Linked DNA regions of Daphnia pulex. The protein of the gene in region 1 binds, or shares a complex with, the protein of each later gene. Links are inferred from orthologs where the notes say so. Each region holds a gene or a part of one and is shown on either strand. Other genes may lie near its edges.

Region 1 (6,007 bases):
CTTCTTCTCTCTGTCTTTTCAATTCTTCATCACGCTTTCTTTGTTCCGCTTCTTCTTTTTCTAATACCGCAATGATTTGTTTGTTAATTTATCAATGTGATTTAGTTTTGTTTTATAAGAAACGAATTTAAAGATGCAAACCTTTAATCCATTGAATGCGCCGCTGTTCCCGTCTCTGTTCTCGGCGTTGTTTTAAACGGTCAGATCTCACCGTATCATACATGGTTTCAAATTCAGCCAATTTCTCTTTAAAAACGCTTCTACGAGCCGATTTCAAGTTATCTATAAACTTTTCTTTGTCGACTCGCATACGCATCAAACGGTCACGATGTAACATTGCCACTTTGCGTTCTTCTTGAAGTTGGGCAATTCTTTCTTCTTCTTGCTGTTTCCATAACAATTTATCTTGGACCTTACGTTCAGCTAGATATTTCTCCAAAAGAGGAATCTCTTCAATACGTTTGGCGCGTTCCAAGTGATCAATTTTTTTTTCCTGGCTCCTCAACTTAGTCTGCAGAAGACCCACCAATAAACATTTAAGTGTCGAATACGGTTAATTAATAGATGTCATACTTGTAATTCCTTTCTTTCTTTTTCCAATTCTTCCAATTGGCGCGCCATTATCAAGTCTGGATCTAATTTTGATATATCTTCATCTTCCATTTTTTTAATAACCTACAAAAAAGATAATGAAATGAAAATATGTCGTCACATAGCAGGTGGTAAGCAAGTTGAATTACTTTTTGCCCAATTGCTGTTTGGCTAAACTGAGCAACCTTCTCTTTGAGATGCCTTGCTTGAACTTGGCGAAGTTCTGCTTCTTGACGAAGCCTCTCTCGTTCTTGTCGCTCAGCTTCAAGACGGCGTTGTTCTGCTAGCAACTGCTGCCTTATCAGCTCCTCCTGACGACGACCTTCTTCTTCTTCACGTTCAGTATTCAATTTTTCAAGGTATTCCTTGCGATCTTCAATAATCTTTTGACGGCTAAGAAGTTGGTGGTGGTCTCTAGCCTAAAATAATCACATTAAACAAATTGCTAACAACGTAACGAATGGAGTTATAATTACTTTATTTTGATGATAAAGTGCAGCGATCTGGACTTTCAACTGTCTTTCTTCTTTAGTAGGAGCATTACCAACAACAGCAATTGTCGCTTTGTTGAGAACGCAGTACATTGTAATCAAATGCGTACGTATCTGTTCAGAAGGCATAGCCTAGAAAAGTTATAAAATCAGAAAGAATTAAAAAAAACACAAAAAAAAGATAAAGCTAACATTTCATTGGTCATGACTTTTTAACATTTCTACCTGTAGAGTCGGTCCTTCTGGTAAATCTTCGCGTTGAGCTTCAAATAATTCAGTGCCGAAGTGAAGACAATTGTTACGGTGATCAATCCTTATTTGCATATCGGTATGACGGACTGCATTAACAACAATGCGTTCCAAGTCAAATGGAGATGCAAAGGGAGCCAATTGCACCAAACGTTCGAATCGGATAGTCGAGTAGAGCTGGGCTATTTGCTTTACCAATCTGGTAAGCGTGATTTCTTCCAAGGCATGAATATATTGGTTCAAATAAGATGTCTCTTCGACTTCGGCCATAAACGCTAGAATGTTCTTGACTTTGTTACATAAATGTAATGGGTCGAACTCTACCTCCAAGAAATGATACAACTGCTGCAACTGAGGCATTGCAGTAGCTACCACACCAAGGCGAACCAAATCTTTAATCAATCCATTACGTGTAGGAGGCTGATTCAAATGAAGAAGAGTAGCTAGTTTTTGCGTTTTTTCCATAGCACTTTTCTCGGTTTCAATGAAACGATCAAATTCAGGGTGTGCAGAGGGTAATGGTACTGCTAAAGTTGCAACAAGTACGCGCGATCCAAGTTTTTGAAGTTCTTCAGTCGTAATATTTTTTTTCAAGTCCCGTGACAGTTGGAAAAGCCGAAACAGAGCTGCAGCGTGGAACAAATGATTTCCAGACTTTCCGAAAACGAGGGCAATTTTCTGATAGTATTGAGCCATTTGTTGAGGACGGGGCATTTTCTTAGCCAATATCATTAATCCGTGAATGTCTTCAATGGCTTTATATGCTTCTTGCCACAACTCCATTTGAATGGCGAAATCAAGTTGCAAGAGTCTGGTTTCCAAATTCATTTGTTGAGTCTCAGGATTACTCAAATTAACAGCAGTTACAGATGGGGTTCCTTTCACCTATGATATAAATATTGTCTTTTAACACATTTCTAAACAAATAATAATTTAAAAAATAATTTTCTTACCATCAAAGCAAGATGAGACCTTAGATTCTCGCAGAGCTTACGAAACTCGGTTTTCCGAGCATACTTCAGACAAAACTTGAAGGCATGTTGAGCAGTATCATGGTACAGTTTCTCAACCCTTGAATTAGTTCGAAGCAACTCTAAACACTGTCTGTATGACTCCCAAAGAAATTTGACCCATGGAGTCAAAATCACACGGTCAGACCTGTCTTGGGCATCTTCTCCACTGACAGCACTGAGCACAAAGAAATCATGATAACATAATCAACCAGAAAAAAATGCAATGAATTGACTACCTCAGAAGTATACTTTCAGGAGTAGCAACATTGTCCAGATCATCAATATCCACAACAGCTTGATGGGATTCTTGACGTGCTGCTTCTGTTTTTTCCTCAGCTAAATTAAGGTAGAATCGTACAACATTTTCTAATGATGCAACATTTACCTGTAAATAAACAACAATCATCATGAGTTTGTTAGAAGGAAAACATGAAACAAGTTAATCCTTACAGATTGACACATGTTACGGTATTGGAACAAGCCTTCCTTAGCCATGTACGCCTTTTTCAAATCCACACAAAGTTCCAAGTATTTGATCATTATGGGTTCTAGCACTTTTTCTGAATAAGTTGTTGACCGATATTTCTTGCTCTTAATAACTTCAGCTAGGGCATCCAAGGCTCGAATAGGTTTCCCCACTTCAATGAACTCTGTAACAGAAGTAACAGCATTTTGTCAATAAGCGAGCGATATAAACCGGTGAACACAACATTTAAGAAATCAACTTGAGTAGTAATTAGTAAAGTACTCGTGAATAACAAAATACAGACCATTTGCTCTTTTGAGTGCATTTTCAGGTCGTTGATAGAAACGCGACATTTTTATATTCTCATAACACGTCGATCAGCAATCAGAACGCTTCTCTTCGCTGGCAATTGCTCAAGCAACGTGGCTGGGGCAAGAAAATGGCCGTCCAAGTTTTTAGACAACTGTGGTTGGGTTTGGTTAACTGGTTAACTATTCAAGCTGACTTCAGCTACGGGCCACAAAGCGCATGGCCCTGCAATGTGTTTGATAGAAATCGTCCCTAGGTTATTCTGCGTTGCCATTTTACAATTCTCAACAACTTTTTCCACAATTAGCAGCAATTAGTAACATATTTGCTTCTTGTTACGAATTGCGAATGTCGATGCCCACCACTACCCATGATGTTGCACCTTAGAATACCCTTTTGTTTTATATTTGGATGTTTTCACATTAAAGATGGTCGGGCTCTCTTTCTAATCTTCATTAATTTTCATCCCCAAACAGGAAAAAAACTTGTGCGTTTTTTCTTAGGTTGTTTGTTTTTCTTGTTAACAAATTTACCAGGTTTGTTCTGGCAGGTTCTGGCAAAATGTCCCATTATTCCAGACATGTAAAATACTTGGTCGAGTGTAAAAAAATAGATGCGTGCAACCCTGGTGTGTACTGAGAACTTTAAGGCCATCAAAATATAGTAGACCAATTGAAAAACAATGGATACAGATTACAGATACAGAACAGGTCTGGACGCATTCAACGGTCAGTTTGTTTTTATAAGATCTGTAATTCTGTATGATTCTTTTCTATTTACATAATGATTGCAATCTTTCAATATTTAGGCAATTCATCAACAATTGGAAATACTTGAAAACTTTTCCGACAGTAGCGCCGGAAGATAGCAAGGCCCTCTATGAGGAATTATCAACATAACACCAGGAGTCCTGTTTCTCAGATGCCTTGAAGTCGCTTGAAGTTGCAGGAAACTCAAACACAGCAATATAGTATTTTGTTATTTTTGTTACTTAATAAAAAAATGCAAAATTTATGGACACACAAAGTTTTTTTTCTTATTCCTCTTTACACTAAATCAATTTAAAGTTAGGAACGAAACGAGATATTAAAAATATTCGCTTTTCGACCGCTAGAGTGCTCTACGCTGGGAGTTTTTTCTCTGTGTGGGGTGGGCATTGTGGATAGTCGAGGTACCCTTAAATCGCGTGTGTGTGTGTGTGTGTGTAGTCTGAAGTGTCAAATAGGGACTGGTTTGTGTAGTCGTGGTAGAGGATTTTTCCTAGCGTCATTCAAGATGGCAGATTCAGCGTTGGAATCAGCAAAGATTGTGACTCTTTCGTATCAATCCAAAGTTAAAGACAACGATGTAAACGATAGTTCTTCTACTACTAACGTGAAAACCCCTGCTTGTGGCAGCTTGCATCCATCGTCACCCAGTCGAATAATGGATGGTGTGGCAACGGGCAACGTGCCGTTAGACAACCAAGCGGCCTCTACAACAAAGAAAACAGCGGATTCTGACAAGAAGAAAAAGAGTAAGATGGCCGATGAGGCTAGAAGCAATTCACGGGCGTATGAAGCAATCCGACTGACTAGTGGTGGTGAAACTCGAGAAATGTCTGTTAACGAACATTTTGATGGTCAACAACGTCGGTCACTCATAACATCGGCTCTCGTCAATGATGAAAAGAAACGTCGGCGCTCAGATAGATACGACAGTTCAGAAAGTTCAGACAGGTCAGTAAATCTAAAAGATAATTAATGAAAGTAACAATAACACAAATGAAATAATTCTCTTTGCAATAACTGGAAGATGAATTCTGTAATTACAACATTGTACCCAATTCTGTGCAATATAGTGTTAATGAAAATTTGGTAAATTTTTTTCATCATTTTCTTAAAATATTAGCTATTTTCGTTTTAATTCGTTTTTTATGGTTAGCGTCACATTCGCATTCCACTAGTTCCAATGTTTGATCTTGAATAGAATGCCATACTTGGAGAATTGATTTGTCTTTAGCTTGTTAGGGTGTTTGTCTGGGGAACTTTTGTTCTTAGCATCCTCTATTTCTGATTCTTTTACTCTTTTTTTGTCGCGTTTGCAAAATGCTATCGTGTTTAAGATGCCCGCTGCCCCAAACCAAAATAATGCTTCGCCTCTTATTAATTCGGCTATATTAACGTAGACATTTGTGTCTGAACTGAATTCGAATCATTGCATGATAAAATTTGGCATTCTGTATGGCACAGCTAATATTATTCACTAGTAACATTCCTATAAAATCTTAAGTATACACAATGTAATTGAATAATAATGGATTAAAGATAATCTCTCTTCATTGCTAAATGTACATGATTTGAATTCTCTTGCTCTCAATAAGTTCGATCAGAAATCGTTAAATCGACCAATTCTTCAATCAATACTTTCAGAATTCAAACAGTAAAAGTCATGCCGATTATAGTTAAAAAAATTATTAGTTATTTGTAAATTTGCTTAAATATTTAAACACAAACAGTTTATCTTGTTCTGACAAAAAAGACTCATTTAAACAGCTTATCATTGTTTTGGTCATTATCGATGTGGACAAAGACTGGTTAAAAACCTTAAAAAAAAAGATGAAATCAAATTTAGTGGTTAGTTTTGGATAAATTTTCGTCTCATTTTGCTTGGTTGCAATTCTTTTCTTTTCACGGTTGGTCATATTTTGCCAAGTTTGATATATTCATGTCAGTTATTTCCGTTGTTTCACCGGGGCGTTGTTTCCACCAAAAATGTCATTGTTGAATTGTGCGATGTTGATTCCATTGAAAAATGAAAGCTTGTTCATGAAAATTGATATTTTTTTAATGATTTTGTGTACGTCTTTGTAATTTCATATGTTCCAGTGGAGTGGCATCTCTGACTTG
Region 2 (5,263 bases), about 3.9 Mb from region 1:
TTTTTATTTATTAGTGAGATTCAAATATATTTGATTGTTATAAATACATTTTATTTGAATTTCCAAATAATTCAAATCTAAACCATTCAAATTTCAAAACACAGAAACAGAATGCCATCGGTCGCCAAATGAAAGTACTACATATTTCCTTTCCGGAGTGCAATAGCCACTTTTGACGCTAGAGGACTCCGGACTCCGGAGTGCAATAGCCACTTTTGACACTAGAGCGCTCCGGACTCCGGAGTGCAATAGATTTTACCATTACCATGTCTGACAAAACTGATCGAAATGAAAACTTCGCCTTCTTCTTCACACCACTTCACACCCAACTTCGTGTCATAATGTGAGACAACGTTGCCGCACGCACCAGAAAAAAATGTAGTAGTAAAAATAATATTTTTGTTTTTCCAATTTTCCAATCCATTCCAGTTTCCAACATTCTATAAATCCGTCATTTCCTTCAGACTTCAATTCCATTTCCCACTATAACCCATAAATTCCGAAATGCTAACTAATTCAAGCCATGGAAAATTTAAGTACTTCCAGTCTTTCATTACTCTGCTGTCAAAATGATCGAACTCCATGTTTCGATTACAGTACCCTCGGGCACTATAAGAAAGAGTATATCTCTGTTAAGAGTTTAAGACTAACATTATAGAAAAATTTGCAGACTTATTGATCAACGAATGTTAACGGTAAATTTTTCCCAAACAGAAACATGTACAATATATTCCTTTTTACTTCTCGTTCAACTTCAGTTGCGACGAGGCAATCAAAATGTATTTTTGATAATCTAAAGGGTACATGATAGTTGAAACCAAAGAGAGACGCAAACAGCCATAACCAATCGATGAGACACACAATTATATTTGTCTTCATTTTCTGATGTTGGATTTGTCGGATATTAATATCTGACAAAAACCTCGAGATGTGCTGCCTTTCACTGAATAAGCAGCACGCCTCAAGATGTGGTGATTGTTTACAGTCTTGGCAATTACTCGTCGATGAATGTCGTCTCCTCTTTAATGAAAAACTCGACTGTCTCCTCTTCTAATTCCCCTCCACGGCCTTCAGTTTCATCCGTATCCACGTCTGTGAATTCATTTGTGAGTTAAATCCTGATAAGCTTACTTATTAACTAGGTTTAAGAACTTACTGTTGCGCAATTCGATACGACGGCGACGTTGAGCGTCATAGTCCTCTTGCTTCTGCTTACGCAAGTCTTCATATTCTTGCATCAGTTTGCGGCGTTTTTCTACCAATTCCTGGGTGAAGTTTGAAAATGTCAGATTTTTAGAAAATACTTTCGCCAAAAATTACACATTCAAAAAATATTTACTTTGGAAGCTTTAGTCATTTTCAATCGATCCTTCACTTCGAATTGGGCACTAAATTTCTTCAAAGACTTCTTAATGTCCTTTATTTGTTGGGCTGGAAGTAATGAAGGTGGTCGAGGTCTCCATTGCAGCTGACAGAATTTGTCTAGTGCTACGCGTTTGAGAATGCGTCCTTGGAAGGACCACAACCAGTAGGCATTATCGACCTGTCAAAGTACAAGAGATCAAACATTGTCAAAAATGAATACATTGCTTGATTTTTGTTACCTTGTGACCCCACCAGGAAACAGCAGTTGCGACATACCGACCGGTTGGATCCCACTCCACATCAGTAGCCATGAAGTGTTCGCCCGTATTCATGACGGTAAAATCATGGGTGTCGACAAATTCCAATGTGCCAGACATGGCACGTAGGCCGGCTAACACAATGAACTGGCCTGTTCGATAAAGTATAGTAAGGATTTTAGAATTTTAACATTAAATTTAATGTTTTCTTACCAGAAGGGGCCCAGTACAACTGGTTGCAAGGTTTACGTTCGTATTTTTTAACCATCGTAGGCGTTTGTCCAGTTTTAACTTCGAAGAAAGAAACAGAAGTACTCGGTGGCTCACCGTGGATGACGGCAAACTTAGTACCAACTGGCTCCCACGCAAAAGCTTGAATGGTTTCCTTGATTTCTACCGAGTCGACTGGAATTTGTTTTTCTCGCATGTGGAAAACTTCCAAATTGTAGTAGATACCGCTATCAAAGGGGGGAAAATTAGCTTTTATATCTATTAATTGAAGGAGTGGCATCTCATTACCTGTATTTGATATCGGACTTATCTTTCCTTAATTTGGCATAGCGGTCGACTTTCACACACAAATAGTCACCTGATTTTTGCCAATACATTTTACAGTCGGCAACGCTAAACAAATTTTTGACTCGCACTTCATTGCGACTTGGCAACTCAAGAAGTGTGACGCGAGCAGGAGTATCTTTCTCCTCTCCGACCCAATAAGCAATCGTATTGTCTGTTGGGCTCCAGGCAAAATCTCGAATTCCTTGAACCTATCAAAATGTAAGAGTGCATGTTAGGAAATGGTTATTAGAAGATTTTGTAAATCGTGTACGTTACTTTGATCGACTTCTTGTCTAAAAGGCCAAATGATGGGGTTTCATAAACAGAAAGCATGTCGATTCCCATCCTAGCGAAATACTTGTCATCATGCGACCACTTAAAAATGGGCAGGGCTTGAGATTTATCGGCATTAAAAGCTCGTCGCTTAAGACCGCTCAACACGTCCCAAATGATGATGGCTTGTGGTTCATCAGTTGCTCTTGAATCAGCCAGTGGACTAAAAGATACTAAATACTTCTCACATGGTGAGAAGTCAATGAATTGCACTCCTGGATGACTGAAGCGCACAATTTGTTGAAACTTTTCACCACCCCAAAGAGCTATACCCTTTGCATGGAAAGTGGCTAGATAGGTGCCAAGAGGTGACCACCGCACTAGAGTCTCAGTCCATCTCTGTGAAGATAATTATTGGTCAGATAAAATTTTAATATGAAAAAAAAAAATAATAATAATAATAAAGGTGAAGTGACTCACAGGTCTTTCTTCCAGCAGAGAGGGTTCAGGTTGAGTGTTCAAATAAACAGCAACTTTGTCTCCCTGCTCATACACAACTGAGAATTGGTCACAAGCGTCTTGATCAAGAAGATAGTATTGAAGGCATCCTTGCTCCTTAAACGGCTGAGGAATTGGATTTTCCCACTTATCAAGAATGTCATTATATTTTTCGAAGTCAGTAAGTAAGTTCACAGTGAAGGTGTGATTTTTGTCGAACTTGTAACCATTAGTTCCTTTAAGAACTTCCAATGCTTCATTGGCATTTGAGTACTCTATGAAAACATGGCTTCAAAAGTATATTATGTTAAAATTGGGCTGACACAAAAGTTAAAAAAAAAACTAATAAATTACCCTTTAGTTGATCCATCAGCATTAAGAGGATAATATTCATTAGTTATTTTTCCAAACTTTTGGAATAGTTTTCTCAGGACATTTTGAAGTTTTTCTATCCTCTCAGTACCAACCTGAGGAACACCGTCAATAACAACAATTGATTCGACTCCGTCGGTTTCTTTCGGACGCTGCCTGATGAGGTCACCTATAAGATCTACATTGACAGTTAGCAAGATTCAATGCCGGCATGCTCAGGAAAGCCATATGGCAAAAGGTAAGTTACAAACGGTACCTTCTTCAGAAATATCGTCCTCATAACCTTCCGGATCATCGAAGTTGGGCTCGTCTTCTAATTCATCGTTTGGGTTAGAATCCGAGTCATCGTTATTTTGCTGAGCTCGATCATTTTCTTTTCGTCGAGCCATGATGAAAAACAAGCACTGCACACCGGACACGAGTCTTTAATGGCGGAAGCCTGTGCCAGATTTCAACAAATAATACTACCATCGAGAAGGCCAAGGCAACCACCATCCACCAATCAGGCAATCACCATTCACCAAACACCATAGGTAACTTGGTGACTAGCCTAGCCTGTCAGCTAGAACGGGATCTTCTGAAGGGAAAATAATTTAGATTTTTTATTATTATTATTTTTTCTTGATTTTTATTCGCATTATAATCATACATTGGATTTTTTTTTGTTTTCAGAAAATAGCCTACATTTATTCATTTCCAAAAAAGTTGAATCCTTATACCCATTTGAGGAATGAGTTGGTAATAATTTTTTTAAATATTTTTAAAGTAACGTAATGATATTTTAAAACCATGATAGCGAATATTTTACAAATATGTATTACGCCTAACTATCAGTCATGGCAAATATGCCTACGCAAAAGCACAATTCTAGCAGCCGAATCATCATAACCCGGGAGGGATGAAAACATCACTTAGGCCTATAACCTACGTGAGTTAACGTTGATCGCAAAATTTTGAAGAACCACTACAATTGAAAACTTGTCTTAACATTTAAATATGTATGATTAAAGTTTTAAAGTCGTAAAAATTGCGAATAATCGAGAAGAAGTTGGCCTTTTAAAAGTGTCCGGTTGTCGGTAACATCGAGGAATATAAAATGGACAGCGTATTGGAAGGTTATCTATTTCAGATGCATTCTGGAACGTGCAGCGATATGCTGGAGCAAATCAAGGATATTAAAGATGTTGTATCCAAAACCAAAGACAGTAGGTTTCAAATATTGGTCCCATCAAAAACATGTTAATCAATTCATTTACATTGTATTTTTTCTAAAGATTCTGTTGTCTCGGCTTTACTAAACAAAGAAATTGGATTAATTTCCTTGTTGTCCAAGTTCAGAGATTCTCAAAAGGATGACAACTTTGCAGAAATAATAAATTGTGCCCTGTCAATTTTGGGTGATTTACTGGAAAAATTTGGAGAATCCATGAGCAACCATTTAGTGGTTATTAAAGTATGGAAAATAATTAATATTACCTAGCTATGTGTAAAAACCTAATAGTATAACTTTCATTTACCTTAAGAATTTAGCATTGATGTACATGAACTCCAAAAATTCTAAGATACGAGGAGCTTGTTATTTTGTTCTTTGCCAAGTTGTTATTACTGCTCAAACTTCACCAACAGAAATATTAGAAGAACTGAATTTGCCAGCCCTTTCTAATATGCTTTTTGAAAAAATGGCTACATCTTCTGATGATAGTTCAAGCAAAGGTGATTAATTAAAAAGACTATTGTATAATTACCCTGTTTGTTATGCAGATTGTATTATTACTGTGTATGCATAGATATGTATTTCTATGGTTATTTATAATATTTATGTTTTACTTTAGCGAAAATGAATTTCCTAGTACTCCTAGGCAGACTGGCCCAGTACTTTCCTAGTACACTGAAGGAAAAGGCCAGTCGCATCATTAACCAACTCCTTTATGAACTTGAAA

Evidence for each region.
Region 2: eukaryotic translation initiation factor 3 subunit A-like (region 1) and eukaryotic translation initiation factor 3 subunit B-like share a complex: the UniProt entries of both Drosophila melanogaster proteins name them as parts of the eukaryotic translation initiation factor 3 (eIF-3) complex. The link is inferred for Daphnia pulex from reciprocal best matches to the Drosophila melanogaster genes eIF3a and eIF3b.

Annotation. Positions count from the first base shown.
Region 1 is NC_060026.1:6,107,871-6,113,877, reverse strand, and holds the start of eukaryotic translation initiation factor 3 subunit A-like, read right to left. Parts: upstream 3,606-6,007; 5' UTR 3,164-3,605; coding exon 3,115-3,163; intron 2,995-3,114; coding exon 2,795-2,994; intron 2,730-2,794; coding exon 2,581-2,729; intron 2,520-2,580; coding exon 2,285-2,519; intron 2,217-2,284; coding exon 1,308-2,216; intron 1,215-1,307; coding exon 1,068-1,214; intron 1,011-1,067; coding exon 741-1,010; intron 676-740; coding exon 574-675; intron 512-573; coding exon 142-511; intron 61-141; coding exon 1-60. Other genes in the region: zinc finger protein jing-like, read left to right, coding at 4,395-4,837, 5,987-6,007. UniProt on the Drosophila melanogaster protein: RNA-binding component of the eukaryotic translation initiation factor 3 (eIF-3) complex, which is involved in protein synthesis of a specialized repertoire of mRNAs and, together with other initiation factors, stimulates binding of mRNA and methionyl-tRNAi to the 40S ribosome.
Region 2 is NC_060026.1:9,962,259-9,967,521, forward strand, and holds eukaryotic translation initiation factor 3 subunit B-like, read right to left. Parts: upstream 3,838-5,263; 5' UTR 3,713-3,837; coding exon 3,580-3,712; intron 3,502-3,579; coding exon 3,306-3,501; intron 3,241-3,305; coding exon 2,934-3,240; intron 2,853-2,933; coding exon 2,457-2,852; intron 2,390-2,456; coding exon 2,142-2,389; intron 2,081-2,141; coding exon 1,836-2,080; intron 1,775-1,835; coding exon 1,605-1,774; intron 1,544-1,604; coding exon 1,340-1,543; intron 1,266-1,339; coding exon 1,157-1,265; intron 1,093-1,156; coding exon 995-1,092; 3' UTR 731-994; downstream 1-730. Other genes in the region: DNA-dependent protein kinase catalytic subunit-like, read left to right, coding at 4,420-4,528, 4,598-4,776, 4,847-5,036, 5,156-5,263. UniProt on the Drosophila melanogaster protein: RNA-binding component of the eukaryotic translation initiation factor 3 (eIF-3) complex, which is involved in protein synthesis of a specialized repertoire of mRNAs and, together with other initiation factors, stimulates binding of mRNA and methionyl-tRNAi to the 40S ribosome.